2 linked regions of the Coturnix japonica genome follow. Each later gene encodes a partner of the first gene's protein in a complex. Links are inferred from orthologs where the notes say so. Each region holds a gene or a part of one and is shown in the gene's direction. Other genes may lie near its edges.

Region 1 (15,324 bases):
GCCTAAGGCACTAGCCAGGCCCTATCCCTACACACAGGGAAGGCAAAAGGCGGCACTAACTGTACTTCTAAAGGTAGCTCTGCAATAACCTGCATTTAACCAAGTGACAAACTGGAAGGTACTGTGATGACAGCTAACGGAGAAGTGAGATCATACATACTGAATCACATCTCCCTAGGCTCTTGTATTTTAAACGTCCTTAACTTTTTTCCATCACAGCTGCTGCAGCTTAGGCCAACAGTGACAGCTTTGGAAAATCCCATCATTGCAGTTTAACAATGATGAATTGGTTAATACCTGTAATGTTATTTGCCAGTGTAGATTTGTGCAGGCAGCATAAATACTGCTCCTACTTCTTGACGAAGAAATCCCACAGAACACACATTTAGCTGATAACCAGAACAGAACATAGGTGTCCCTGCCAGTCACACTGCCTGACCTCTTCCCCTCTCACTGGGGGTGGAGATGAGGAAGATGAGCATCCAGGAGAACAGCTGTATTGGTGCGTGTTCATCACTCCCCAACACAAGCACTCGTCCTCCCTGCAGGGCTGAGGTTCTGCATGGCCAGCACACACTGTGCACATTGCCTCAGTTTCCCCATCCACAGATTGAGGTTGATGGAAGGAGATTTCATAGAACTCGGCATTTTTGTAATAGCTGCATTTTCACATTTGTTGCTTTTTCTTAATTATTGGCTGGGCATATAAATACCATCCGCCCAAGGCTACAGCACAGAAAGTCAAAGGCCTACGTCACTGATTTACGAGACCTCCATTCAGTTCAGTTCGCCTCCCTCTGAAGTTCCCATGGGAAAAGCTGCCTTTCATTTCCTTTCAAAAAAGTCTCATGTATGGCACGGCTGGGAGCTGCTAAAGCTCTTTTTGCCATTGCCACAATCTTCTCCAGCAGCATCAGCCAGATGTGCTGCTTCTCCCTTCTGCTGCACTGAATTTGGCAAAGAAGCAAAGGTACCAAGTTAAAAGGAAATAAGGGCATTGTGCTTTTACTTATGAAAGTGGTGACTAGGTTAAAAACTTTGGTGATCTAAAACAATACACAGGGCAGAGGAAGAAATCAGCACACATAATCACTAATGGAAAACACCCTACTGGCACAGCCAGACAGAGAGGGCTCAGAGACAGGGCTGGCATTTGCCATCCGTTAGACCCTTGAGACCTCACCAATTTCAAAGGGCTCCCACGTGCAACGTGAAGCAAACAGGAGCCCATTCATCCTCACAATATGCAAACTTCTACCACCCTTCAGCTGACAAACACGTTAGAAATGTGTGTTTATTTACTTCCTGCACAGTGTAAGTTAAGAAGGAGAAAATAGATGCTCAGCAACGATCTCTGCTCACCTGCTGAGATTGATGGTTGGATGCACAGCTGAAAACTACAGTGGTGCCTTACAGACCAATTTCCACTTCCATCTCCTGCCACTTTGTGCACCTGCAAAGCTGCCTGCCAAGACCCTGCAGACCCAACTAGGTGCTTAAGGCTGAGCACATGGACACTTCTGAGCTCACTCTGCAAACCACTCTGGAGGTACTAAGCTGAAATGGCATTCTGGCAGCCGAGATCATACTGAGTTTCCAGCCATCAAAGAATTTTGCTGTGTTTAGGCATGAACACGGCAGAAACCCTTTGGAGACAGACTATGGCACACAGAGCATCTCAATAGTTATTTCCCTGCATTCAGTATCACAACCATGAATACCTGAGAATCTCCTCTGCAGAGTTCTGCAGTTACTGTGATGGTGCTGATCATCTGGGGTATCACAAACCTACATCAATCAAGCTATGAATGCAGAGCAGCTGACCTACATGTCAGTATCCTATCAGGCCAGGGTTGAGGAGGTGGCCTGAGAAGCCACAGCTGGTTCTGTGTAAGATGACAGAAAAATGCTGAGATGTTTTTTGGCTGACAATGAGAAGTGTCACACCCCCAGCTGAAGTATTTGAGGAAATCTCTGCCAAATCAGAGACTTTCTGGGGTATTTCCAGAGGAGAGGTTAATTCAAGGCTCTGATTATGAATGAAACTGAATACAATGAATGAAAAAAAAAAAAGAGATCAGACCTCCCCACTTTATTAACTTTCTGGCTCAGGCTAAGTTTAAACAAGGATAGTTGGGAAGGTACTTTCCACAGGCCTGAAGTCCATCTGTGCTTGCCCAAGCCCAGCTCCTCCATAAGACACGTACATACAAAAATGATATCTGTCCTGAAGACAGCAAATCCCCAAATGCTCGAGTTTCAGACAGACCACTTACAAGTGGAAAGCCCTTACAAGAGAAAGTGCCAGCTGCATATGCAAAGGAACACTGAGAAGCAAGTTTGTGCAAATGACTTCTGGGTCAGAGCAAGTAGATTTGTGTGTATGGCTGACTTGTGCTGTGTTGGAAGGAGCAAACAGGACACCGTCTCACTGACCTACAGGGCTGTTTCCTGCCCTTCATCTCCCATTTGCACAAACTGCAGGTCCTGCATTGCCAGCACCCTTGGCACCCCCACTCCATGTACAGGCACGAGGCAGGAGGACACAAGCCAGCACTCCTGCACCAGCTGACTTCTGCTCTCAAATAGGAAGTTGATAAAAATCTCACTTGGCTGCAGAAAGAAAATCAGATTTCAAAACCTCTGCCAAGAGGCCTCCAGAGCCCATCAGGAGATCTGTCACTAACCCTTGGCAGCAGGAAGCCCCTTCCCACTGCACCTGAGGCAGACACCAGACACCCTGGTTGTGCCTAGTCAACTCTTTGAGGATGTTTTCCTCTCCTGAGCTGTTGCTTATATTCTCCTGTTTTGTTTTTTTAATCTTGGGATCTATCACATGTCAAATGTGCTTTCATCAATAAGTAGGTTGGGGGCAAACCTTGCAAAAGGCCCCAGGCACATGCACACAGCATGGCACTGAACAGGGCACGCTGCCTGGGGGCAAGCAGGTGCTCTGTGCTTTTCACCCCTCTCCCCTCTTTTCTCTCTGCGTACTATATCAGTCTGTGATTAAATCAAGCCTGTTTAACCGCCACAAGCAGATGTGAGGACCCCATTCGTTACAGAAAAAAAAGGAAAGAAAAGATGGCATGTGGTAACAGTTGTCTGCACATGAAACATGGCCTGCAGCCCTCTGTGAACCCCAAAGCCACAGGATCCTTGTTTGGGGTGTGGGAACTCATTTTCTCAGACCCTCAAAGACTCAGTTAAAACAGACCCTGCTGTAGCTGAGGCGGAGGAAACACACACACTGTGAGACACCGCGTGTCCTCCCAGCTCTCAGTCCTCCTTGCCCAAGGAGCCCCTTACAGCACAGCCAAGGTAAGCTAACAGGGCTTCACACTGAGAAGATGCAGAGACATAGGAGGAAGAGAAGGAAGGAAAGGAAATGATATCCATCTCCATGCCCAGCACAGGGAGATGAACAGCCAGAGCAAGCAATGAAGCCTATCGTTGCCTCCCAGATGGCATGGGTGCTCAGAGACATGCTGCAGACTGCAGGCCGTTAAGAACAGGGCTGTCATACCCACAAGGCTTTATCAGTGGCTGTTTCTTCTTTCTTTCTGTCTTGCTCCAAACTCTTAATTTCTAAAAAGGGTGGGAGATGTCACAGAATCAGCAACACATCCTGAACAGCTGTTGCCACCCTCTATCTCTGCCTCACCCCTTGTCCCTGCTGCTTCTGGAGCCCCCAGAGAGACAAACAGCTCAGCCTGGCTAACAGGAGGCCCTGATGCTACACCACCAGCCTGGAGTGCTGAAGACCCCTGGTGGGATTCAGTCCTGGGTTCCCATTGGGACGGATGCATTTCCTTGAAGTGCTTTGCTCAGGAATGCCAACATTCTTAACACAACAGAATTTAACAGGTATCTAAAGGTGATGGTAACCCCACTCAACACCACTCTCGCAAAGCTAAACAACTGCGTGAGCCCCAGCTGAGGAGTGGGGGCTCTTCACAGCCCACCCAAACAGCTTTCCTGTCCTGCAGAAATGAAAAGGGCTCAAAAGAGGGATCCCAAGCCCAGCTGGGATAAGCAAACTTGCACAACTGCAGCTCAGAAGCTTATGATCGAATGCAGGAATTGCTTCTGCTGGCCCCATAAGCTCCCTGCCTGGGGATGACACAGATGGATTCACCTCGTTCAGCTGGAGGAGACAGCCCCAACCCAATCCAGAGAGCAGCAGGATCCCAGACCCCTGCTGGATCTGTGCCTGGGGGAGCAGGATTTCTCCCCCACCCTTACCCTGGAAGGGCAACACCCAACGTGTGGTTTCCTGAAGCAACAGATATTTGTCAGAGAAAGCAGTAAGGAACACAAATGTGGTAAGTGGCCTCTGCTGAGCTGTGCAGGTTGGCAGTGCTCATGCTTTGAGGTAAGGCTATCACCCTGTTAGGCCAGCAGCAACACCCTGCTCTTTGCAAGATATCAAAGGCATGGGCAATGCAGCTCAGGCTCAGAGCAGACATGGCTTCCACTGGCAGGCTGCAGCCACAGAGGGAAGCGTGCAAAAAGCAGACAGGCACATCATCCTGGCCCAGCTCTACTGCTGACATCTGCCTTACCAGTGACTGAACCTACTTGTTGCAGCACCTCCTCCAGCAATGTGAAGACATCTACAGGACAGACAGATGCCTGGGGTGAGGAGCAAGGCTCCAGCACCAAGATGCACATTCTGCTGTACATGCCCTTGGCTCTCTGCCACTAATTGCTAAAATACTAATTTACAGCATATTCCATAGCAAGGGACTGCATCAGTGCTTGCTGCATCCAGCATCTGGCACACCTGAGGTAGCTGCAGTTTGCCAGAGCAAGGGTGGTGACAAAGAATGACAGCTTGTGGACGGGACTGGGCAGAGATCTTATGTTCTCCAGCACAGGCCCAGCTGTATCACCTGTAAGGATCTGGAGGGCACAATATCACCACACCTGACACTGTTCCTCTGCTTCTCTTTCAGCAAACTCTGCATCTGAACTCTACATCTGTTGATCCAGCAACCAGCTCAGCCTATCTCCTCATCACCTTCGGGCTCTAAGGTTTGAAGAAAACAGAAGGAACAAAATGCAGAACATCCACTGAGTCATTGATGAGGCAGGAAAAGCTGACCTGGAATCTGCAATAGTTCCTGGCAGCAGAGGCTCTGGACAGCCTGGAAGTGTGGGTTTACATGCTTGCTGGATTAGATACAGCACTGACTCAAACACAACTATGAGCTAATGGGATGGGAAAGAACAGTTTTTACATCAGCTAAATAGCATTACAATAAAAAGTCCAGTGGATATCAACCACCCCGGGCCCACTTTAATCAGTAAAGATGTTCTGACACTCCAGTTAGGCCAAAAGAAAGCTCCTGGGATCTCCCACTGGGGCTATTTGTAGTCTTGATGAAATGGCTTCAAGCTTTACTCAGAACTCCAAGGATGGAACACCTAACTCACGCACCGAGATGGATCCTGCACTCTGGAAACTCCATCTTACACACATGCAACATAATTTTGAGAAGATTTATGTGAACTCCAGAAGTGACCCAGCAGAGCTGCACAGATCCCCATCCCATGAGCCCAGGCAGGGCAGTGCTTTCTGCCAAGACATCAGCCTCCTCCACCAGCAAGCAACAAGTCCACAGGGTATTACTTCACACAATCATATTGCCAACATTAACACCACTGTTGCTTTAGAGAGGAGGTTATTTGTCAATAGTAGCAAAGCAGCAACAGCCTCACTGCATTCAGGTCATGATCTCTGCAAGCAACAGGCCAATGTCCTTAGGAGAAACATTCTCAGACGTACAGCTTATTCCCTCCTTGCCCTTGTCCTGTGCATCAAGTGCTTGTCACTATCATACTATGCAACAACCCTTACAATGCATTAGTCAAGGAGCTTGGGGGCTTCACTTTTCAGAACCACATGGGCACAGGGAAGGTTTTGGTGACATCCTGACTGCTGTAAGGGGGCTGTAAGAGTCTAAATGAATTCGCTGCTAGCTATTTTGGCTTCTGACATAAGCCAGTAAGAGCACATGGTGACAACGTGCCCTCTGGTGGCAGTGGTGCTGGGGGACAGAAGCACATGCAAAAGTTCACCCCCACATCGACCGCAGCAATTTCCACCTACCCATCTCTGTTGCTGCTCAGAAACACCAGGTTCAAACACCAGGTTCCCACACCAGATCCCTGCAGCCCCCCCTTCACCAGCACTGCCCAGTTCAGAACTGACAAAGCCTTGGGCTTTCCCTACCAAAGAGTGGACAGTCATCCATTCCCATCATTCTTTACAAGGCTGAATTTCAACAGGCTTCACAGCTTCTCCCCCCTGGGACCGTCAGTATGAGAATAACTATTCAGCTGTAGCTCTCTGAGGTTTAATGTTTGTCTGGGGTGACACAATAAGGACTTGGGATTCCCACCTCCTACATCTTCTTTGAAATAATCTGCATGAAATTCTGTAAAAACACGTGAGCTTCTTTCCTTTCTCAGTCTGAGACCGATCTGAAAGTTCTTCTTGTTGCAAAAGGAAGCGTTCCAATCTCTGGGAAAAAACCCCATGCTCAGGAAGGCGCACAGACTCCCACCATCCCACATCTCCTTGTTTTGCTGCCAGCTGACTGATTTCACAGCACTGCAGAGGAAGCTGGCACCATAAACTGGCAAACGTTTCCAGCAGCAACATCGATTCCCACTCCACATGGGCTCCAAAATAAGGATGTCACCCTCCACCTATGGACACGAACAGCCAGCATGGTTCTGCTCGCTTCCAGATTCCTTCCCTTCCACATCAGATCCCTGGCAACATCTTTCAGCACAGCCCTGAAGCTCTCCTTGTTTCACTTCACCCCTTTCCTCTTGGCTGGCCAGTCTCCTCCGGTGGCTGCGAGCAGCTGCTGCTTCACAGACACACAAGAAACCCCGACATCACTGAGCAGCCAGACCTTTATGGAAGCATTTCCCACTCCCACCCTGCCAGGCAAACGGAAGCCATGCATAACAGAATGATGTACCTGTGCCATAAAACAGGATGCAGCACCTGTGATTTTAGGGACTTCTGCACATATTTAGCTGAGGAAAATTCCACCAGGCTCTGGATTTTCAGTTTGTAACTGAGTTTAGAAGGGACTGCAGTGCTCTGGTTAGAACCCAAGGGCTCCAGCTGACACCACCACCAATGTTATGTTATGTACTGTAACATCAGCGGGTGCACTTTATCAGTTCTGAGAGCAGCTCACAAGGCATGGCAGTACTTATTGATGGGAAAAAACGTGCAGAGGAGCAAAGAGATTGTGTCTGGTTATTCAGCAGGCTGGATGCAGCCAGGACTGGAATCCAAAATAACACAGTGCTCTGCACCAATAACTAGAGCACCCAGCAGCCCTCACTGCAGGGCTTCCCCTGCTACCCCCTCCTCAGAGACACCCTGTGTACAAAGAAACAGCTTTGTTCTGAAGTGTATGATACTGTGGGATGGGGGAAAAGTATTCCCAAGAGTAAAACAAACAAACAAAAAACCCACAAAGCCAACGAAAACCAACCGGGCAGCACAGGGCTGGGATCTCATTTATCCAACAGCTCCCACGTGTGAATAAACCAAGTAATGCAGCCACCCAACATGAAGCCTGAGCCTGTTCTCAGCAGCTTCACTCGGCTGCTTTGAGCTCCCAGCTGCCACATCCCTCCATATAACGCACATCACTCCGCCCCACAATCAACCAGCAGGTCACAGCTCCACCACACACAGCGCTTCCATTCCCAGCTCCTTGTGCTCCCTCACACTCCGTTAATCACTGCCACCAATTCCAGCAGCCAGCACAGCACACACAGCCCCGAACACAGCGAGGGACCGACCCCGCCGGGCACAGCAGAGCTGGGTGCTGACACCGCCACAACAACGGCACCTTCACACACCGGCAGCTCAGGCCCAGGCCGTACTATGGCAGCAGCTCCCCGCTCCATCCACCCATTATGTGCCTCGTACCTTCACCATCCACCAGCTCCGCTGCCCGGTCCCGTCCCGCTCCTGGCTGTTGTTTACTCTCCACACGGCTCCGGCATCGCGGGGCGGGGCTGCAGGTTCTCGCAGCTCTCGGGGCATCGTGCAGCGCTGCCGGGCCGGGCCGCTGCCCCGCCATGGAGCCGCCGTTACCGGAGCTCATCGTCCCATCGTTGTTGTCCCATCGCCGTCCCATCGTTGTTGTCCCATTATCGTTGTCCCATCACCATCCCGTCGTTGTCCCGTCCCGGTCGCACCGCGGGGCTGTGGGGGATGTTGGAGCCGCCTACAGCCCCCACAGTGCAACGCGCGCCTCGCCGCACGGCCCCACCGCCCCGCACATGCGCACAGCGCTCTATGGCTCCAAGATGGCCGACACGGCGCCCGGCGGTTCCGGCACGGTAACGGCGGCTCCTCGTCGGGCCGCGGGGTCGTTGTGGGAACGGCCCCTCCGGGCGGAGCGGCGCGGCCTGCACCGGGAGCGGGACACTAACGGCTGCGGGCTGAGCGCGGCGGCTTTAAGGGGGAGCTGAACGGAGGGAGGCGCTGATTGGCTGCATGGCTGCGTGGGGGCGGGGCTTGGCGGCAAGCTGTGATTGGTCCGAGCTCTGATGCAGCGTTTAAAGGGACAGAGCGACTATGGGGGAACGTGTGTAAATATGGGGATATGAGTATGGACAGGCACTGCTTGTAGGGCGCTCCTAAGGTAAAGCCTCCTATTTATTCGCATGGAAGCTGCAGCAGGTACAGCACAATCATACTGTGTGATCAGGTGTTTGCACATCTGGAAAGCACTGCTGTTTAACACGGTCACCACCATTGCCCATATTGGCACTGGAGAAGAGCTGCATGCTGCACTCATACTGCTGGAGTGACCCACTGTTATCACTGGAACACGCCGCACTGTGCTCACAGCGGCTGCTCTGTCTCCAGAAGCATCTGCCCTCATCCAGGAACACAGTGATTCTGTGCTTCATTCACACTCCTTCATTACACACCGTTATGTCCAGCTGCTGCCACCTGTCACACAGCAATGTAATGTACACAATGTAATGTACACAATGTAATGTACACAATGTAATGTACACAATGCTGGCAGGAAGGTTCAGCCTTTACCCCGCCTCCAACATCTAACCCTGATGTCGACATCATGAAATAGGAGGCATTACTTTCAGAGCAGTCCTCATGTGTGTATGTCTGTACATGTGTGTCTGTGTAGGTGGGTCTGTACTGTGTGTAGGTAGGTGCTGTGTATGTACACCCGTGATGTGTGCAGGGACAATGTGTGAGCACAGAGCGAGTGCTGGCAGCTCGTCTGGGGCTCAGGTTCAGTGTTTTGGGGTCTGTGTCCACAGCGGTCGGGCAGCAAGCACACGACCACGCCAGCAGATAACTACTACCTGGCCCGAAGGAGGACACTGCAGGTGGTGGTCAGCTCCTTGCTCACTGAAGCCGGCTTTGAGAGCGCTGAGAAGGCTGCGGTGGAAACACTGACAGAGATGTTACAGAGCTGTGAGTGTCGGGTGCCACCAGATTTAGGGCAAAATCACCTTGAAATCGGTTCACATTTGCTTTCGCTCTTTCTGTTTTTCGTTTGTTTGTTTGGTTTTGTTTTAACTCTTTAACTCCCGGTGCTTTCCATGATGTTATGATGTGCAATAACAATAACAAAAATCATAAAACCATGACACTAGATTTGATCAAAAGTCAGGTGTTGTGCTGACACAAATGTGTGTTTGCTGCCTGAAATGAACATGGAATGTGAATAAAATAAAATGAACATGTAATGGTTGTTGGTGGTTTTTTCCCCTCCAGATATTTCTGAAATTGGAAGGAGTGCAAAGTCCTACTGTGAGCATACAGCCCGAACACAGCCCACGCTGTCTGACATAGTTGTTACTTTAGTGGAGATGGGTGAGTAGCTGACTCATCTCACTCATTCCACATACATACAGTGGGTGTTCTGTGTTGCCATGACAGTCTGTTCCTGGTGTAGTTGTGTGATGTCGGCTGTTCTGGGTTGCACACAGAGGCTCCAGTATCACTGCTGTTGATGTAGTGTGTATGCACACAGAGTACATTATTTTCTTTCTTCTTGGTGTGATTCCATTTTTCTCTTCTTCTGTATTTCAGGGTTCAATGTTGAAACACTTCCTGCATATGCAAAGCGCTCCCAGAGGATGGTGATCACTGCCCGTATGTGAGAAGTCCTTTTCTTGTGCAGGAAACCATTTGTCTTTTCTATCTGCTGGCATCCAGAGAGCTGCTGCTTTTCTCATGGATGGTGTAGTCCATTGCTCCGGGGCACTCAGTTTGTGTTAAAGATTCCTGTAATTATGATGTAGTAGGTGAAGGAGAGTGTCTGTCCTTTGCCAAACCTGTTGCTTTTGCTTCAGTATCCTCATTGCACATGAGAATCCTCAAGGTGGTTCTCCTTGTGTAGGAGGGGTCATGTAAGCCTTGTTCCCTTTTGGGATGCCAAATACAACCTGAAACTGTTGCTTGTGTCATATGCTCATGTAGTGCATGTGCTTTTTTAACCATAGCTCCTGTGACAAATCAGCCCGTGACTCCCAAAGCCCTGACAGCTGGACAGAACAAGCCACATCCATCCCACATCCCTGGCTATTTCCCTGAGTTTCCAGATCCTCACACCTACATCAAGACACCAGTGAGTGAAAAAAGACTTTTGTGCCATTTGGTTTCTGTCTGAAGTCAGTAATGTTAGGAAAGGTGCATGTGCATTCTTATTGTAGTGCTGTTCCTGAACATTGTTTCTGCTACCTTGGCACAATGCTTGTCATTTGCATATTGTACTTGCTCTAGTTTTATAGCTGATATCTGTAGCTGTTTGAAAACGTGCACATGTTGAAGGTCAGTGCTTGCCTGCATCCTATTAGTGTTTTGAACTTGATCTGTCTTCACTGAATCTAGTGACTGTACTTGTTTTGTCATCCCTGCTCTACAGACGTACCGAGAGCCAGTGTCCGATTATCAAGTCCTACGGGAAAAGGCAGCATCTCAGAGGCGTGACGTGGAAAGAGCTCTCACCCGCTTCATGGCTAAGACAGGAGAAACACAGAGTCTCTTCAAAGATGATGTTAGCACATTCCCATGTGAGTTATCTTGGAAACCTGTGCTGTAAAGGACAGTTCTCTAACAGAGTGTACATCTGGTGTTCTTGTGATTGCAGGAGGTGGGCACTGAGGGATCACATTGTGTTCAGCCTTCTGAAGCACGGGAAGGGAAGGAAATGAGGGACTTTCTATTTTAAACAGGCATAAAAACCTTGGGTTCATAAATGACTTGTGCAAAAGTTACAGAAATTCAGACAGCACTGGCTTCTACTCTAAACAAATTCCCCCTTTCTTGTGATGGTGGTGAAGGCTTTGACTGATACATCCTATCGTTCCCTTATCCCAGTGCTGTCAACTCAGTGCTGAGTTGATGATCTGTCTCCCTTCCTGCTCACTGCATGCTTTTCCCCAACACTAGTGATTGCTGCCAGGCCATTCACCGTACCCTACCTGACGGCTCTTCTCCCCTCGGAGCTGGAAATGCAGCAAATGGAAGAAACAGATTCATCCGAGCAAGACGACCAGACAGACACAGAGAACCTGCCCTTGCATATGAGCACGGTACGCCCACCCTCAGGTCTCTAGGGCCTGATTTTCTTAAACATATAAAACCTGGTTCTTTGCCTTCCTTGCAGCTGAGCATAGGGGGTGGAAAATGGCAAAGTAGGTTGCATTTTACCGGATGTAAATGACTAACATTGTCATGGTTGTTTAACTTTCTGCAAAATATGTTGTACATTGAGGTTATCTAATGGTGGATCACGAGCTTTCAATGCAACCTTTATTTCTGTGCTAGAGGAGAGAGGATCATCACGCTATTCTATGCTGTTCTCAGAGGGGATCTACTTATATTAAAAATCTGCAGTTCTCACCTTCAGTGCAGCTTTTTGTTTGCTTCTGTTTATCTTGGCTGTTGATTATGTTTCTCCCATGTGTTTTGTGGTTTGAACTTCTAAGCCCTGTTAAGACTAACTTTGGTTATTTATGCTTTTTTTTTTTCTTTTTTTCTCTCCTGTGTCAGGATGATTCAGGACCTGAAAAAGAGAATTCTTCAGTATTACAGCAGAACACCTCCTTGTCTGGCAGCCGGAATGGGGAGGAGAATATGATAGACAATCCTTATCTCCGGCCAGTGAAAAAGCCCAAGATCCGCAGAAAGAAATGAACTGTAGTCAGCTGGCTGCTAGAAGGAAGAGGAGCCCATTTCTCTGGCTGTTATGAGTAGTCACCTCTGCTGCTGTGGGTATGAGGCGTGGAGCAAGACAGAGGAGGCAGTCTGACCGAATGGCAGAAGGAGAGGAATGATCTTTGTCTGCCTGGCAAACTACACTGTCATCATTGTTTGCAGTGCTCCCTCTTCCTCCTCTGCTTTCCTCCTAACTGGGAATGCTCAGTGGTCAGTTGCCTTAAAAATGGTAAAAGCCACTGGGTTATAGATGGGAATTGTCTCATTTGCTTTGGTTTCTTCTCACTGTTGAGGAGGTTTACTCTCTTAAGAGGCACAGGACAAAAAGATTCTTGCTGCTCTACAGAACACAAAGACATCATTTGTTTTTGGCTGCCTTACAAGCTAGAAAAGAAACTTCTGCAGTGAACCCTGTTTGGCTTTATAATCTGTGGTGCATGTATGAAGAGAGAGAGAAAAATCCCACAGAGGTTTCTTTCTTTTGATTGTTGGCAGGTAAAAGCAAACACATTTATCAAAGAGTGAAGTGTAAATACAGAGCTAAGATGAGAGTTATTCTCAGCTTTTCTGACTGCAGCTGCACTTCCAACTTAAAAGTGCTGAGTGTGGTGTTTACCCTACTCTGCTTTGAGGTTATTTTCTAGCAGTACCAATGGCAGGATTCAACAGCTGCCTCGGGCTCTTTTCTAGTTCTGTTGTTAGGTTCAATGCAGCACAAGTCCTTTGAGAGTTCATGCCTTCACCAGCTGTTTTGAAAGATGCTTGCTGCAAAGCTTGGAATATAGAATAAAGCTGTATCGATTACAGTCTGCAGGGCTGTGCTATTGATCATGCTTTTAAATTTTGTCTTTGTTCAGATATGGGCTTTAATCAACAAAAGTTGCTCTTTTTTGTTTCTTTTTTGTTGTTGTTCCTTTTTTTCCTTAGATAAGGAACTTTGTTTCAACTGTGAAAATGAGTGCTGGTGGGATTGCTCTAATTGTTATCCAGTTTTGGAGGCCTTTCCTTTACTTTATGTTCAGTCTTTACTTAGGGAAAATATACACAGATATATTATATATAATATCACCCAGAGAGGAGGAAGAAGAGGAGGAATTATTTCAGCAAGAATGGAAGTATTCCTGTTAACCTATTTGAAATGCCATCTTTAGCAAAAAATTAGTCCTGCGTGTGCCATTGCCACTTCTGTTAGTGCCTTTGTTGTACAGAAAATCAAATGTACAAAGACATGATGTATATATATATGTGTGTATGTATATAAAAGGATTTATCTTTTTTTTTTCTACTTTGGATTAGGTGTTTTTCATAATGAAAATATCCCTTTCTGGATAGGGGAGAATCTGGAATGAAAATAGTATCTTTAATGTTCCTAATAAAAGAAATTTTATCTTCTACTATTAAAAGTGACTGAGTCCATAAAATTTCAGACTGAGTGGAAAAAAACACCCGAGTGGAGCCTGAATGTTTGCTCAGTGGGGTCTGGTGAAGTTCTCACCAACATGTAGGAGGTCTTTATTCTGCTGCTGCGTCTCTTCCTTTCTTTGCAATGATGTTTGATTGCTGAGAAGGTTGGGAATTTTCCAACACAGTGTGTTCAGTGAGGACAGAATACTTCCCTTTATAAGAAGTTTTTTTTCTCTGTCACAAGTGGAACATGTGGTTGGAAAAGACTGCAGAATCCTTGGTGTTTTTTAGTTGATTCTACATCTTTCTGGTGTGTGTTTTTTCTCCTCATGATAAACTCAAGAAAGATAAAGTATACGTTGTCAGCCATGATTGCAGTGGTGGAGCTGGAAGCAGAGACATTAAAAAAAGGTTTTACAGCCATAATCTGCAGGGAATGACACCTCCTCCTTGAAGATTTTTCATCAACAGTGGCAACTGAGAGTCAGCAACAGCATCCCTTTCTGACAGCTACAGCTACAAAGCTGCCTTGTGTGGTTGGGAGGGTTGTGCACTGAGAATAAAGGCTGTCAGCAGCTGCACTTGAAGCCCGAAAGTGGAAAACTGGAAGAATGTATCTCATTTTTATAGTCAAAATTGGGCTGCAGGTGAAATTGCCACAGACGCAGCTAAGCAGACCCAAAAAATGGAAAGGCTGTGTTGTGGTTGGTAGTTATTTCAAGTACAAATATTGTGAGTTCCCAGTTTTCCCCTGAGATCTGATCACTGTGCATGCAGCCGAGCTGTAAATATTTATAGCAGTCTCTACAGGCTTCACGCTACAGAAGCACCTGAAGCCAAACACCAGAACCTCTCTGTTTCACACTAGGTTTATTTTTGTGGCCTCACACGGTTCTCATAGATTGAGAGAAGCTCTTTATGTGCATAGGGACAATGCTGGTCAGCACAGGCATGGCCATCTGGTCTGGCCATTCTCAGCACTCCATACACCTGGGCCAGGAGCTGAGGGAAGCAGTGCTGAATGCTGGTCCTGGTGATGCCAAACACCTGCAGAGTCAGGAAAGACCATGTACCAGGTCAGGCAATGAAAATCAGCAAGCAGAAATGCTGCTTTGAACAGGTTTTATTTGAGGAGGCAGAATATTGCAGGCAGACGTGTCCACGGGCAGGCTCTGCTGCATGGGGCTGACGTGATGTGTGCCTCAGCTCTCATATAAACTCAGGTAGGCCACACGGTTCCGATGCTTTATGAATTCTCTGTCCGCAATCAGCTGAAAGAAAAGAGCACAGGAAGACACCAGGTGGTGTTGAGAACTGCAGGCTGCTTTACCAGGTGGTTTTCCTGACCCTCAGCCAATGTTTCATCCCTGTCCATACCTTCTGAACCTCTGTTCTTAGCATCCTCCTTGATGGCATTGGCACTAATGACCAATCTGGAGCTCCAAACTTCATTGGCCAAGTGATGTTTTTGTGTAATCGCTTGTCTGCATTGTAAGTTCCAGGTCTAAAGAAAACAGAGACAAAGTATCTCATTTCTAGATGTGGTGCACGATGTTTGCAATATGAGAATTAACCAGACCTGCTTAGACCTATGAGAAAAACGCATTTTATGGCCTCCTAGTCATCATCTTAGGTTGGAGACTAAAGCAAAGGAGCCTTTTGAAGATACAAAC
Region 2 (15,369 bases), on another chromosome or scaffold:
AATAATTCATGTTGTATAAAAGAAAGTCACTCAGTTTTAAGTACATGGTATCCTACCCTAGTATTCAAGTATCCCGTTTTACTGGCTCAGATAAATCAGAAGAAAGTTTCTTGCATACTAACAATAGCAGCTTTCCCAAGATGGTTATGCAGGACTGAAGGTGAATTTGAGCAGCTCTATTATTTTCACCAGAAGAATATTGTATTTCATTATAAAAATGACTTATCACCACAAGCAACAACAACAGCAACAAAGAGGACAGAGAATATTTGACCTTGAGTAGTTACTGCCACCTGAAGCATCAAAGATATTACAGTCCTGAGATCTAAGCTTTAAACTCTCATTTACCTCTTTGCATAAAAGAGAGCTGCAGCCCATGGAACACAGAGATCTGCAGCAGTTGATTTAAACACATCCTACTGGCTCTATCACAAAAGAGTCCTTGTGTGTAATTTTCCAGATGATGATACACTGCCACAACTAGTGATGTATAGAGAATAAAATCATAAAATCATTTGAGTCCAACTCCCTGCAATGAAGCAGGGATCTGATCTAGCACCTACAGCTAGATCAGGTTGCTCAGAGCCCCATCCAGCCTGACCTAGACTGTCTCCAGAGACAGGACATCTACCACATCTCTCAGCAACTTGTTCCAGTGCTTCACTACCCTTACTGTAAAAAAACATTTTCCTCATATCCAGTCTAAATCTCTTCTCTTTTAGTTTGAAACCATCTTGCCTCATCCTGTCAACACAGACTCTGCTGAAGAGTCTGTATCCTTCTTTCTTATAGCTTCCCTTTTGGATACTTGAAAGGCCACTCTCAGGTCTCCCCAGAGCCTTCTCATTTCCAGGCTCAACAGCCCCAGCTCTCTCAGCCTGTCCTCACAGGGGAGGTGTTCCATCCCTTGGATCAATTCTGGGGCCCTCCTCTGGACACACTCCAGCAGCTCCATGTCTCCCCTGTACTGAGGACTCCACATCTGGACACAGTACTCCAGGTGAGGCCTTACCAGCACAGAGTAGAGGGGCAGGATCACCTCTCTTCATCTGCTGGCCATGCTGCTTTGGATGCAGCTCAGGATACAGTTGGTTTTTATAGGCTGTGAGGGCACACTGCTGGCTCATGCCCAGCTTACCATCTAACAGTACTCCCAGGTCCTTCCCAGCAGGGCTGTGCTCCATCCTGACATCCTCCAGCTTGTGAGCAATATAGCAATCATGGGGGTTGCCACGGACCCATGTGCAGGAACTTGCACTTCAGTTTGTTGAACATCATGAGGTTCACCTGGGCTCGCTGTTCTTGCCTGTCTGGCTCTCTCTGCATGGCATGGGTATGCTGACCACACCACTCAGCTTGGTGTCACCTGCAAACTTGCTGAGGGTGCACTTGATCACAGCGCTGATGTCACCGATGAAGATATTGAAGAGCAGCATTCCCAGTACTGACCCCTGAGAGATACCACTCATCACTGATCTCCATCTGGATACTGAGCCATTGACCACCACTCTCTGGGTATGATCTCATAGTCATTTCCCTGTCCATCAAATAGTCCACCCACCAAATCCATATCTTTCTAATGTGGATTGAAGGATGTTATGGGGAACTATGTGACAGGCCTTACTGAAGTCCAGATAGATGGCAGTGGCTCACCCCTTGTCCTCTGATGCAGTTATGACATCAGAAAAAGCAACCTGGTTGGTCAGGCAGGACCTGCCCTAGGTGTACCCATGCTGGTTATCCCAGATTACCTCCCTCTCTTCCACCTACCTTAGAATAGCTGCCAGGAGGATCTACTCCATGATCTTCCACTGTACTGAGGTAAGGCTGACATGTCATTAGTTCGCTGGGTCATCCTTTCTATTCTTCTTAAAAATGGTTGTGACGTTGCCTTTTTCTCAGTCACCAGGGACTTCACCTGGCTCTTGATATCATCAAGTGTGGCTTGATGACTTTGTCAGCCAATTCCCTTAGGACTCTGGGATGCATCTCATTGGGACCAATAGACTTACAGATGTTCAGGTTCCTCAGGTTCCTCATAGCGAGCAACAGCAACGTCTTGGAAGCTCCTCCTATTACGTGGGGGTCCGACCTTTTGGATCACCTGGGCTGCACAGAATGAAGGGGAATTGTTTTGGGCAACGCTTACGTCTGTTGCTCCCAAAGTAATGGCTTCTAATTACATCCATGGAAACTACTACAGATACACAGAGCACATAACACTATTTGATTGAGCGATTACTCAGCACAATACAACTCCCGTTCACTCGGCGCATCCCATGCAAACCAAAAGCTCGGGCACATAACGGGTTAAACGCTGGGTAACGCCGAGCCCTCCCCGCCCCGCCCTCCGCCTTCCGGGTATCGCCGCCGCGATGCTGCTGCTGCGGGCGGCTCGGAGCCGGGCCGGGGCTCGGCCGGGTCGTGGTTTTCCTCCACCGCTAGCCGCCCTCTCGCAGGTCTTGAAGCTGGAGCGGAACCGCCGTGACGGCATCATGTTCCCGTTGCAGCGGTTAGCCCGCAACCTGGCTCCCGGCGCCGAGGAGGCGGCCTTCAATCTGTTCCAGCCCGGGCTGAACGCGCTGCAGCGCGCAGAGGTGCTCTTCACCTCCGGCCGCGGCCACAACATCGACTACGTGAGCTCCGCCGTCCGCATGGAGCACGCCCCGCAGCCCGCTCTGCCCGAGGTCAGGATGCGGCGGGGAGGCCGGGCGGGCTGGATTTGATGCCCCCGCTGTGCGCCGTGCGGTCGGTGTGGAAGTGCTCGCTGTTCTCTAGTGCAGGTGTGCTTCATCGGCCGGAGCAACGTGGGCAAGTCGTCGTTAATCCGGGCCTTGTTTTCGTTGGCTCCAGACGTGGAGGTCAGAGTGTCGAAAACTCCAGTAAGTGTCGCTTATAACTTGGCTCCCTCTGGGCCAAAAGCTGCTTGGTAACCCAGGCGGTGGTATGGAACTGAGACCGCTTCCCATGTCCCAGCTGCCCATCTTAGCATCTCTTTCTTCTTTTTCTTCCTAAATCTTCCCCCCAGGGCCACACAAAGAAGATGAATTTCTTCAACATAGGGAAGTACTTCACTTCGGTGGATATGCCAGGGTACGGCTACCGTGCCCCAGAAGACTTTGTGGATATGGTGGAGGCTTATCTGCAGGAGCGACGCAAGTAAGGGACCTCAGTGCATCAATGAGAGATGAATGCTTATATGCAGATTCACGTAATCAGGTGATAAAACACCACAGAGGTAGCAGCTTTCAGTGGTCGTGTTGATGAGTCTGAAGTTGTTCACTGGGAACCTCTGTGGTGACCCTCATTCACTCACTCACTCATGCTTAGACAGATCAAAACTGCAGAGCAGATGGAGGTGCTGCTCCATGCTGAGCTCTCAGTGCCATGCACAGCTTTTCTTGTCTTGTCTTCCTCCAAATCTTACATTTCTTCTTGTTGCTTTGAGTTTGGCAGTAGCACAGCAAGACAAAATAACGGTGCTGCCTTTATCGCCTGTATTTCTGACAGCTTGAAGAGGACTTTTCTATTAGTTGATGCTGTGGTAGGAATCCAGAGCACGGATCTTATTGCAGTAGAGATGCTGGAGGAGTTTGGGATTCCTTATGTGGTGAGTAGTGCTTTGTTCTTGAGGAGGTGGAAGCAGTATGAAAACTTGACTTGTGTTAATTACCTTTACCATATAACTATAAAGGAATGTACCCCCTACCTGAGCTTTTGCAGGCTGTCCTACCTGACTAGTAATGCCATCTACTCCACCTTTCTTTACTGATAATAAAATAGATCAAAGTAGCAAAATTACAGAATCACAGAATGACCCGGGTTGGAAGGGACCTCAAGGATCATGTAGTTCCAACCCCCCTGCCTGGCAGGGCCACCAAACATACACATTATCAGGTGCCCAGGCCCGTCCAACCTGGCCTTGAACACCTCCAAGGACGGGCCATCCACAACCTCCCCTGGGCAGCCCAGGGCCTAACCACTCTCCTAGTGAAGAACTTCCCCCTAACATCCAACCTAAATCTTCCCTCTTTTAACTTAAAACCATTTCCCCGTGTCCTGCTATTGTCAGCCCTTTCGAAGAGTTTACTCCCCTCCTGGGTGTAAGTTCCCTTCAGGCATTGAAAGGCTGCAGTGAAATGCTCCAGGAAGTCTTCCAGGCTAGCACCAAAATCATCTTTTCCTCTCGCAATCTTTTCTTTCTGGATCCACACAGATGGTGTTAACAAAAATTGACCGAGCTTCCAGGGGACTGTTGTTAAAGAATGTTCTGGGGATCCAGGAGTTTGTAAAGGAGAAAACCCAGGGATGCTTTCCTCAGCTATTCCTGGTCAGGTAATGCTCTTTTTTTTTCTTGCTGCTGTGCCTTGTAGATGATGATTTGCACTGACCAACCTACCTTCACCTGGAACTGTGTTAGCTATAATTGATTACATTAGAAGTGCTTACTCTATTAATGTTGTATTGCAATGTGGGGATGTAATTTAAGTGGTTGAGTTTGCTTGTCTTGCTTCAAGATACTGTAGCATCAAGCACTGAACATCATACCTTTGTTTCCACAGTTCTGTGGAGTTTTCGGGAGTCCACTTGCTAAGGTGTTTTGTAGCCCATGTTACTGGAAACCTGCCTAGTGTAGAGTCCAGTTGAGAAGTCTGGCTCCTGATCTGCTCAGCTCATCTGGAACAAAAGGTACCAAAACCAGAGGTCTGGATTGTTGTTGTAAGAACCTGAAGCACCACAATTATTTTTGGATAAACTTTTATAAATTTTTGGCTAAAGTAATGTTTGTAAAGGCGAGCTTTTTGTTTAATAAACTTCTTAATCACTGTGAATGAATCCTGGGTACTACACAAAACCTATGTGTTTGTGTCAAGGGAGGGAAAAGAAATAATCAGAGAACCTCCAGAGAGAAGCCAGGTACTTGCTTTGTTGAGTTGAATGACACCTAGCAGTTTAAATGAGCGTATGGGCACCCTGCCTGCTCTAAGGCTGTCCAGAGTGAAAACAGTCAATGCTTTGTTTGCAAAAAGCTTTTTGGAAACTTGTATTTTTTTCACTATTGTAACTCCTCTGCATTGTGCATTCCGTAGGTTCAGCGTGATAGCATGGCATGCCTTGCTTGTCTACATCTGGTTGTCCCTGTTACGGGCAGATGTGGAAAAGGAAACCTACTTTATGGGATCTGCCTCCTGGTTGGCTGTTGGCTTGAAACAGTGGTGATGAATGAACAACACCTAGCAGAACTCTCTCCTCCTGCACTTGATCATCACTCAGTGTTGCATGAACCTTCTGTTTTAAATCCCACGTGAGTTCTGCAGCTGCGCTCAGCTCAGTTACCAGAGATGGGTCCATTACCTACATCTGTCCTGCCCTGGGAGCTGAAGCACAACACAGAGGTCCTGCAGCCACTGTACCTGGCTAAGGTCAAAGGGAAACCACATCTGGTACAGAATGTACAAAAAGGACTGCCATTAAATAGCAGTAGTTGTACACAGCAATTTAGACCAAAGCTAATAAAGTGCCTGTGTCACACTCTGGCACACATCTTGTCCTGTCTTAAGACTGCCAATTCTGCGTATACAGTTGCTGAGGTTAACTTACATTAAATGTTTATATCTCAAGGAAAAGTGATTCTTTCATAACCCACTCTGAGGCTTGAAGGTGGTGTTTCTACTGTTTGTTACGTTAAGGAATGTCCTGTAACTCTCAGATTAGGCTTGAAGTTTGTTTCCAGCAGATATGTAGGAAGTGGCAGGATGAAGAAACCAGCAGGGAGATGTGGATCTCCAGTTTCTACATGTAAGCAGAGATCAAGCATGTCATGCTACCGTTTTGCTTCTAATCCCAAAATGCACCAAAGCAAACTGGCCTGTGAGTGTCTGATTCTAGAAATAAATACAGTAGGATCTAGAGAGGTGGAAAACACTCAAGTCAATGTTTTGGGAATAATTGTGTGTTTGTATCTTAAAACCAGTGTCTTTCAAAAGCATCAGTGTAGTCCAAGCTGTTATCTTCAAGGCCTCAGTTTGTTATGTGCAAGATTTGGAAGCTCTGTGACAGATGTGGCAATAAATAAAATCGAATTAAGCAAGTGCTCCATAGATTCTTCTTGACTCTGCTGTCCAGTAAAGTTTTGTTTCTCCAGTGCCTGTACCTCAGCTGCACCTTTTTCTTCCTCTCCTTCGTCTTCCTAAGGAAAAAATCTTTTGAATAGCCTAAGTTCCCAAGGCATTTCTCACACTAGATGAGTGAGGGGTGGGAAACAGCCTGGGTGCTATAGACACGGCACAACAAGATGGCGGCCCCCAGGGGAGGCGGGAACGGGAAACCGGAAGCGGTAGCGGGCTGTGGCGGCCATGGCGGACGAGGAGGAGGACGCGCCGGTGAGCGGCGGGGATGGGTTGTTTGCGTTCAGCCTCGGGGCGGGAGGGAGCTCCCCGTTTAACGGCTTCCTTCCTCCGCTTTGTTCCTTCAGTTCGAGGAGGACTCCGAGGAAGCCGGCGGCGGTTTGGACGGCGGGCAGGGCAAGAGGAAGAGGCTTTTCTCTAAAGAACGTGAGTCCAGGTTGGGGGGGGAGCTCAGGGTGGGAGCGTTACTGATGCATTGAGCAGATGGAGGCCTCACGCTGTGTGTATTCCCGCAGTAAGATGCATGATGTACGGATTTGGAGATGACCAGAACCCTTACACGGAATCTGTGGATATTCTTGAGGACCTGGTGATAGAATTTATCACTGAAATGGTAAGTCAGTGGTGTGCCAAACACGGGTCTGTTAGCCTTGAGAAAAGAAGACTGAGAGGGGATCTGATCAATGTCTGTGAATATCTAAGGTGTGGGAGGCAAAGGGATGAGGCCAGACTCTTTTCAGCGGCATGTGGCAATATGACAAGGGGAAATGGCCACAAACTGGAGCATGGAGCCACACAAATGTGTGCAGGAGCTTCTACATGGAGAGGGTGACGGAGCACTGGAACAGGCTGCCCAGAGTGATTATGGAGTCTCTTTCCCTGGAGCTGTTCAAGACCCACTCGGACTCCTACCTGTGCAACCTGGTGTAGGGAGCATGCTTTGGCTCCCTCTGCTTCAATGAAATTCCTTCAGCATTATCCCAGGCAAAAACTCGTGTGCTGCTGGGAAGAAATCTAAACTCAGATATAAGAGGTTGGATGTTAGGGGGAAGTTCTTCACTAGGAGAGTGGTTAGGCCCTGGAACAGGCTGCCCAGGGAGCTTGTGGATGCCCCGTCCTTGGAGGTGTTCAAGGCCAGGTTGGATGGGGCCCTGGGCAACCTGATCTAGTAAAGGTGTATGTTTGGTGGCCCTGCCAGGCAGGCGGGTTGGAACTACATGATCCTTGAGGTCTCTTCCAACCCGGGTCATTCTGTGATTCTGTGATTGCCCTTCCGATATTAAGATAGAATTAACACATTTTACTCCACATGGATTTAGGGCAACGTTCGGAGGCTTTAAGTAACAGTTAGGGGAAAAAATCCATAGCTGACTTTGAGGCACCCAGTGGCATCGCTGTGTGTTCTGCTGACAGATGGCTCAGCTTTGAAATGTTATGTGCTTCTTGTGTTCTCTCAGTGCCTTTACACAGATGGAAATGCCACACCATAAAATAAATGCAGCCATCTGGGCCCTAAAGCCACTGCTGATCCAGACATTTGGATACAACTTGAGCACTTATGTTAAAAAAAAAGAATAAGAAAAGTGGTATTGTTTGTGGATCCCTTCTCATGAGAAGTTAGCCTTGCCTATTCTCAATAGAAAAAAACTGTCCTCTGATGCAGGTATTGCATACTGCATGCAGATTCTGCTTGATGCTGTTGCTCCTCAAGCACTTTGCAGATCAGGTGTCCCCTCCCCAGTCTGCCTTCAGTTCCAAAGACATTCCTGTTGTGTGTGCAGTGGTACCCAGTGTATATGAGGTACTGCACTTGGATGGCAATGCCCAGATCCTGCACTTGCTGCCTTCTAGACTGTTTAAAATGTCAGTAAATACAGTAGGATTGAGATCTGAAAACAAAACTAAAAGGGGCAGAGGAACACTGATGTTTCTCTCTTGCAGACACACAAAGCCATGTCAATTGGACGGCAGGGCCGTGTACAGGTTGAGGACATTGTCTTCCTAATCCGCAAGGACCCCCGGAAGTTTGCCAGAGTTAAAGACCTTCTGACTATGAATGAAGAACTGAAACGTGCCAGAAAGGCCTTTGATGAAGCAAACTATGGATCTTGATTCTGTGTACAGGCTTGACTGGAGCGTGCTGTGGGCTCCTGTTGCTCAAGAGGAAGAAATGTCATGTGTGTTGCTTTGAGGGGTTATTTGAGCTGGAGATCATTGCTGCTATCTGCTCTGCCTCTCAGCCTCTTGTGGTAGGCATTCAAACAGCTAGATGTTAACTGATTACACATGGCGCTCCTAACGTGTTTTTATACCATTATGGGAATTTGAGAAATGAGCTCTAAAGATATTTTAAAGGTGAGAAGTCTGCAGTAGGACAGCTGAATTGGGAATCTACAAGGCCCATGACAAGCTCTTCTCTACTTTGGTTATGTCGAGGTATTTTGTTGACAGGAAACCTGGAAAATAGATGTTGGTTAACTGGACAAAGTTGTCAAGCCCAAACTATTACAAATTCTGCTCTGTACATAAACTTGAATAAAGCAACTCGAGTCTGTGCCCACTCTTCGTAACTACACGTACACTGATCAGTTAACGCAGGGCACATAAAAATTGTTGGCTATTGTAGCATCTCATGAGCTCTAAGTGCTGTTTCTGTCCTAGTAGACACAGCTCTCCTGTTTTTACTGTACACTTAGAGAACTGAAATTAACCTGTTCCAGATTTAGTTGCACTCAGATCCTTGCCTTGCCCCTGTTGGGCAGATGCTCCACTATAAAACTGATCTGACTTAATTCAAAGAACTTTTTTCACAAGATTAGGATCACCGGGTAATTACAAATAAGAGCTCGATGGAAAGCACTAAGCTTGTGAAATAATGTTAGAGCAAGGAATAAGTATGTGCTGGAATAGCTACACATTGCCAAGCAGGCAAAAACTGCACACTTGAAAAGACTTCAGGACACTGGGGGACTTGTTCACAGATAAGTTTACTCTTGCGGGCTCCAACTGTGCTTTGCCCTGTTTCCAAAGCAGCAGGATTTGGTTAACACCTTTTCAGGACAGGAGAGAAAAGGCACTGAGTAGGAAGTAACTCCAAGCTGCTGTCCCTGGACAAGGCTGGGTAAAAAGGATACAGATTACTCATCTGTTTTGAACACTGTTCCATAAAAAAGAACAACAAAAATGTTTACAAAAATAAGATCATTACTCCTTTGTTAATAGAACTCAGTGTATGAGGTACCAAGACACTTAGAGGCATTCCAAGTTCTAGTTAGAAAAACAAGACACGTTTCTTCTTCCTAGTCCAGAATCAGACACCCATTGCTGCAAAAATAGAGTCAATATCCACGTTGTCAGAATCTTCGTGCACAGACCTGGGGCTTTCTTTTAACAGCAGCTGCTTAGGAGTCCCTGCTGTACTTTGTTTGACAGCGGCCGTGTGAATGATGGGACATCCTTTCTGACTCGAAGGCCTCACAGTGGGTGAAATGCAGCTCACATGGTCCCCAGAAAGCTCCGAATGTTTTTGCTGAACAGTCCTCAGAGTTCTCTTTGAGCACTTGGAGAATTCTGCCCTCCTTCCAAAGATCCATGCCCTACGGTACTGCCTTGGCCAGCGCGTGTTCTGGGAGCCATACAGGAGGTATTTACAGAGCGTCATTTTGACACAGCGCAGTTTCTTCTGCAAGCTTAAGGGAAGGAAGATGAACAAGAGAGAACTTTACAGCTGTTACTATTACCTATGGTGTTTTCAGAGCTCTAGATATGGGCATTCTCTGCCATTCTGTCACACTCGGGAAATGCTACAGCATCTTTACATCATCTAACACCATTATGCAGGCACACAATCTAAGCTGCATTTTCATTCCCCCCTTTTATTACATATTCATGCATTTATTAACCCTTTAAATCCTCTCACAAGCAAAGCTATACAGATACTTGTATCAGCAATTCCAATGACCTGAAGATGTGATTGTGCTCAAGCTCAAAAATAAATATATAGGTCAGACCACAGCATTTCTCTACATTGTAGCAAAACATGTGAAGTTAAACTATCAGATCCAGAGCCCCTGTGCTCAGCAGAATACCTGCATCCTTGTGCCTCCACATGGTGCAGCCGATTGCTCTTCAACAACTTGCTGCGCAGAAAGTAAGCTTCTGATTTGAGTTTGTTGCCTTTGCACCACAGAATGGCTTTTCTGAGCGCCTCCGACAGCTCACCAAATGATGCAGCTGTTTGAAACATCTGTACGAGAGGCCCAGTGCGCTGCAGTTTTGCCACAGAAGAGGAAAGTGACACTGATGTTTCATTAAAAGGTTTTGATGTCAGGCATCTACCCTGAAACAAAGAAGCAGAAAAACAGTTGGCTTTCTAAAAAGGTGAGGTGCCTGCTGCTCTGCCAGGGAGGAGCAAAGCACTGTGTTTTGCATTTCTTAAGGAGAGACACACAGTGAGCATTTATATTCCTGTCTACTGACTTCTTCTGACTTCCTCTCTGGTCACTTCGCTTGACATACCAACAAATGCTTGCATAACAGAATGACCTGTTAGACAGGTAACATAAGGCAAGGAAAGAGGACATTTTCCATCATATAGGTAACACATTTCAAGTGTTAGGCTCTTCACAGCAACATAAAAGCAATCTTGTGTAAAACTGTGGTATACAAACCCCTTGTATTGGAGGTCTGGATGGTCTAAGCAAACTCTTCACATCAAACCATAGGTGGTTCTCTACAGAAAGAGAAGAGTTCCCATTAAGTAAAGAGTTTTAAGTCCTCACACAAACACACTAATGCTTTGCCCTGCTGAGCTCTCAGCTCTCCCGGTGTCTCAGCAGGCTTATGCCTGTACTCAGCATTTCAGGAGGGGAGTTTGTACCAGAACCACACTCTGTGGGAAGCAGAAGCATTTGCTCTGTTGGACAAAGTTGGACAAAGCGGTAGCCAGTCTCTGGTCTCAGATACCAGTATTGCTGTGGCAAAAAGGCTTTACCTCTGCTGCCTATGGTCCCCAGAACGGGTTCTCCAATGTCATCCGCAGGAATGCTGTGGTTCTTCACAGCTCTCGCATAGGTCACAAAACCTCTCTTTTTCCCAGCCTTTGATACGGCTTCTGATGTGGTTGGGAAGAGCTTCTTCAGCCAGCCGGTAGGTCTTCTTGCTGTAAGCATTTTAGCTTTTTGTTTCTTCACCTCAGCAGAAAGGTTAACTCCAAGAAAGCTACCGATATCAGCAGGGAAGGTAAATCCCTTGATGTAGGGCATCTGCTGGGTCTCAGACACCAGATGAAGCGATGTTGACAGTACGCCATACAGGGAGATGAGGTTCTGCAGTAAACACCTGTACTGAATCCTGAAGGGAGAAGACAAAGGTGTAGATTCTCTCCTAGCAAGAACTTGTGCTTATACTCACTGAACAACTGCCTTGAACTCAAAGGGAAGAGCTTTGTTCTCCCCCCAGTAGAGGCCCCTCTCTTTACATTCTCCACTCACACAACTCTTCAGGTGCTAGAACAGAGTCCAAAAGGATGGAGGGATCTGTATGATCTTTTTCCCCTCTCCTCCTAGCTGAATAAAGCTCACTCAACAAGAACGCTCTAATCACAAGCTTTCTCCCTGACAGGCATGTCAAACAGACAGCAAACAATTGTCAAATATACAAACCATAGCCGGCTCAACATGCCCAAAGCCACGGTGTTCATAAGTATGAATTCTTCTGAACAGACAAGCTGCAGATTACACCAGTTAAGGTTAAAGAATAAACAGTATGTAATGAAACTTGCTGAGCCCATCAACTACGGGCAATTCACAAGGCGATATCCTGAACAATTCGGGAGGTGCGTATCCAAACTTTGGGTTGCTCAAGGCTGGAACAGCAGCCAGCCAGCAGCCTGAGGTTCCTACGTAATAACTTGAAAATAAAATGTCTGACTAGCAAAGAATCTTCAAGGTGCACAAATGAATTGCAATGTGGACTCCACCAGCAGCACAGACATTCCTTTGGCCTCGTGAAGTGCTGCCGGTGAACAGTAAGAATATTTACATAGCAAAAAAAAGGATACAGAAATGCTTTACAGCAACAGTCTAGCAGACGCAGTATGAGCTTACAGCCTCCCAGCACCTTCACGGCCACTGTTTCCAGCATAGGCTGGCTGGGAACTAAGCACTCTGCTTGGTCCTGGGCTTTAGTTTTCCTGTGGCAAGACAAGGGCAAGGAGATGTCTGTGGTCTAGCATCTCCTCCTTCGGTTCCGTAGGCTGACCAATGGGTAGTAGTGCATACAGGGTCATGGCACTGACCTGGGAATCAGTTCTGCCAGGGTTTCAATGCAGCCCACCAAGTTCATTTTCCACAGGCGCTTCAAGCACTGTTCCACCTAGGGGAAAAAAGAAGGGAAAAGAAAAGGAAGAAAAAAAAAAAGGGAAGTCCTTCAGCTGAGAGACACCAATGCCCTTGTCTAAGAGCAGTCACTACTTTAAATGACACCTTCCCCTTATCAGTTTAATAGCAGACTTCAGGTTTGTGTGATACAGTGCTCTGGTCTTGTTGCCATATCTGCACTGTGACAGAGACCCCTTTATCACCTTACTGTGAATAGGAAATTAAGAGCAGGAGCAGATCACTTTTCATTGGCACTGTATGGTTTCTCCTGCAGCATATAAATGGATTTCAAGAAGCATTTAGACAATGCTCTGAGGTATGAGGTCTGATTTTTGGGTGGTCCTGTATAGAGCCAGGAGTTGGACTCAATGATCCTTACGGGTCCCTTCCAACTCATGATATTCTATGACTGTGGTAATGCAACATGATGGGGATAAAGTACAGAAGTCTCTGAAATCTAAACAGTGGATGTATGGAATGTGTTTGGGATTTAACCAGTCCTTCACCAACGATAACGAACAAATGAATGGAGAAGGTAAGAAGGACTGCTGTTTTATTTCAGCACAGTTGTTTGAAGACTATGACAACCCCTTTACTACAGAGCTGCTCAAGAGTTCAGCTTCTGCCTCAGGAGAGGCAACATCCGACAGAGCAGCCTGCAGTTCTTCCACACCCAAACCTCCCCTCTCCCAACTGAATCAAACAGCGACGAGGCACCAAAAGCTGAAATCAAGCTGCACTTCTCACGCTGTCCCAAGGCCTTCAAACCACCCCAGCTGCCCGCCGCTCACCTGCTGCATGGCCAGGTACGGCCGGTGCCGCAGCAGCCTGCTGTGGAACACGTAGAGCAGGGCCCGCAGGACGCGTCCCTCGGCGGTCAGGCTCGGCCAGCACAGCCGCTTCATGGTGCCGACACAACAGCGCCGCAGGGCCGGCAGGCAGCGCACTGCGAACGGATGGCACTCAGCGACCCACGCGAGCCCATCGCCCCCGACTCCGCTTCCCCATCCCTGCGGACCCCATGGCTCCGGTGCCCCCTCCCGGTTCCTCCCCGCCCCATCCCGGCCGTGGGGCCCGGCAGCCCAGCCGGGGACCTGCGGGGTGCTGCGCGTCCACTGCCACCGCGCTGCTGCTGGAGGGCCACGGCACGTCCACACGGTTCCACGCAGCTTCGGGCGCCGCCATCTTGTGCTGTGCGGGGCGGGACGTGCAGGCGGGGGTGCGGCCTGCACTCAGTCACACACGGCGTTCACAGAGCGCATCGAGCAGTGCTGTTCTGGATGCTGGGATCCGCGGATGAGGGAGGCGATGCACCAAGCTAAGGGCTTGCGGCAAAGTTCCAACCCCCTGCACTGTGCAGGGTCACCAACCAGCAGACCAGGCTGCCCAGAGCCACATCCAGCCTGGCCTTGAATGCCTCCAGGGATGAGGCATCCACAGCCTCCTTGGGCAACCTGTTCCAGTGCGTCACCACCCTCTGTGTGAAAAACTTCCTCCTAATATCTAACCTAAAACTCCCCTGTCTCAGTTTAAAACCCCCTTGTCCTATCTCTGTTTCCTCATACTTTAGCCAAAGATGAATGTTCTCTCACCTGCACCTACTAGTATTGCCATTAGTGTATTTGCTAGAGACAACCACATTAAGCTGAGAAGAACTTTTGCCCCACCTCGTTATTTTAGAATCCAGTGTGTTACATGCTTCCTGTTTTTCCCTCAAAGAGGTTTGTGCCAATGCAAATTAAAGTGGTGTCCCTTTAAAAAGCTAGAGCATAATTGGCATTAGCATTCACACCTGTGTGGAGCAGCGTGAGGGTTTGTTCCCTCCTTGGGTCATAACTGATAAAAGGCTGCCACCTGAGCATTCTCTTGTTCTGGGAACGAGGCTGTTAAGCTTCCTAGTGTAGCAGAGAGTTGTGAAAATGAACACGGAGTCTCCATGCTGTGAGCAGAATGCTGCAAAGATTTCTCTAGCTGAGATTCTGAGGTGCTTTGAGCACCCTATAAGCGAAGAACAAGCCTGGGCTATTTGCTTTTGGTGTTGCTTCAGGATGAAGGAATTAGCCCAAGGGCGGTACCCATCACTCCATTCTGTATTCATAAAAGGTCCGGGGAGCATCTTTATTCATGCTGATGGCACTGTTTCCTTCCGGGTGTATCATAAGTCTGGTAAGAGTGAAAGTAGCTGTGGGTGCCACGGGTTGCTTCTGTGATTGGTTGAAATTTAGGGACAAAGTGGAGAAAAGCTTTTAATTTTCCCCTTCTTCTCTGTACTTTCAGGTTGTTCTCACTGTATAAGCTGTTCTTCTGTCTGTGCTTTATTCTAAAGGTCTTTATATAAGAGGTAATGCAGATATGCCTGCCAATCTTTCTGTTGATGCTTTAGTGTGTCATTTACTTCTAGGGAATAGCTGGGATTCATTTACTGCAGCTTCTGTTATTTGAAACAAATAATTTGAGGTTTCATTTTGTGTCCTGCTCTGTTCATCTTCTAATCTGTTATTCCACCATTGTATTAACTCTCAAGCCAAATCTGTGACTGTTAGTTCTCCATTATTATTATTTATTGTTCTGTGTAGCTAGCAAACAGCAACAAGCTTTGTCTTATGCACTTGCACTGCTGTGGAGTTCATTGCTAGGCTGAGTGCAGGGACAAGAGTGGGTAGTAAAGAATGAAGACAAAGATCCATTGCCTTCCTTGTAGTTACATATGTACTAACAAAGAAAAGGAACTAACCAGTAGTACTTAAATTGGGGCTAATGGTCACAGTAAACAAAGGGTATCTTGCAGTGCAGTTATCATCCTGCCCTACCTCTTCTTGTTTCCCTTTCAGATGCTGGCAGTATTCAGCAGTCAGAGGAGA

Evidence for each region.
Region 2: TAF8 (region 1) and TAF13 share a complex: the UniProt entries of both Homo sapiens proteins name them as parts of the TFIID basal transcription factor complex. The link is inferred for Coturnix japonica from reciprocal best matches to the Homo sapiens genes TAF8 and TAF13.

What each region holds. Positions count from the first base shown.
Region 1 is NC_029541.1:4,759,981-4,775,304, forward strand, and holds TAF8 (transcription initiation factor TFIID subunit 8), read left to right. Parts: upstream 1-8,097; 5' UTR 8,098-8,121; coding exon 8,122-8,385; intron 8,386-9,339; coding exon 9,340-9,496; intron 9,497-9,799; coding exon 9,800-9,898; intron 9,899-10,117; coding exon 10,118-10,180; intron 10,181-10,530; coding exon 10,531-10,655; intron 10,656-10,952; coding exon 10,953-11,100; intron 11,101-11,479; coding exon 11,480-11,622; intron 11,623-12,082; coding exon 12,083-12,226; 3' UTR 12,227-13,650; downstream 13,651-15,324. Other genes in the region: PIFO (protein pitchfork), read right to left, coding at 14,854-14,922, 15,029-15,155. UniProt on the Homo sapiens protein: The TFIID basal transcription factor complex plays a major role in the initiation of RNA polymerase II (Pol II)-dependent transcription.
Region 2 is NC_029516.1:74,702,710-74,718,078, reverse strand, and holds TAF13 (transcription initiation factor TFIID subunit 13), read left to right. Parts: upstream 1-6,250; 5' UTR 6,251-6,356; coding exon 6,357-6,383; intron 6,384-6,475; coding exon 6,476-6,554; intron 6,555-6,643; coding exon 6,644-6,741; intron 6,742-8,069; coding exon 8,070-8,240; 3' UTR 8,241-8,688; downstream 8,689-15,369. Other genes in the region: uncharacterized protein LOC107320010, read left to right, coding at 1-273; GTPBP8 (GTP-binding protein 8), read left to right, coding at 2,376-2,687, 2,784-2,882, 3,029-3,159, 3,511-3,610, 4,217-4,335, 4,563-4,647; NEPRO (nucleolus and neural progenitor protein), read right to left, coding at 9,439-9,817, 10,217-10,467, 10,799-10,860, 11,122-11,480, 11,792-11,856, 12,171-12,321, 12,427-12,503, 13,300-13,454 and 1 more; protein spire homolog 1-like, read left to right, coding at 14,428-14,674, 15,340-15,369. UniProt on the Homo sapiens protein: The TFIID basal transcription factor complex plays a major role in the initiation of RNA polymerase II (Pol II)-dependent transcription.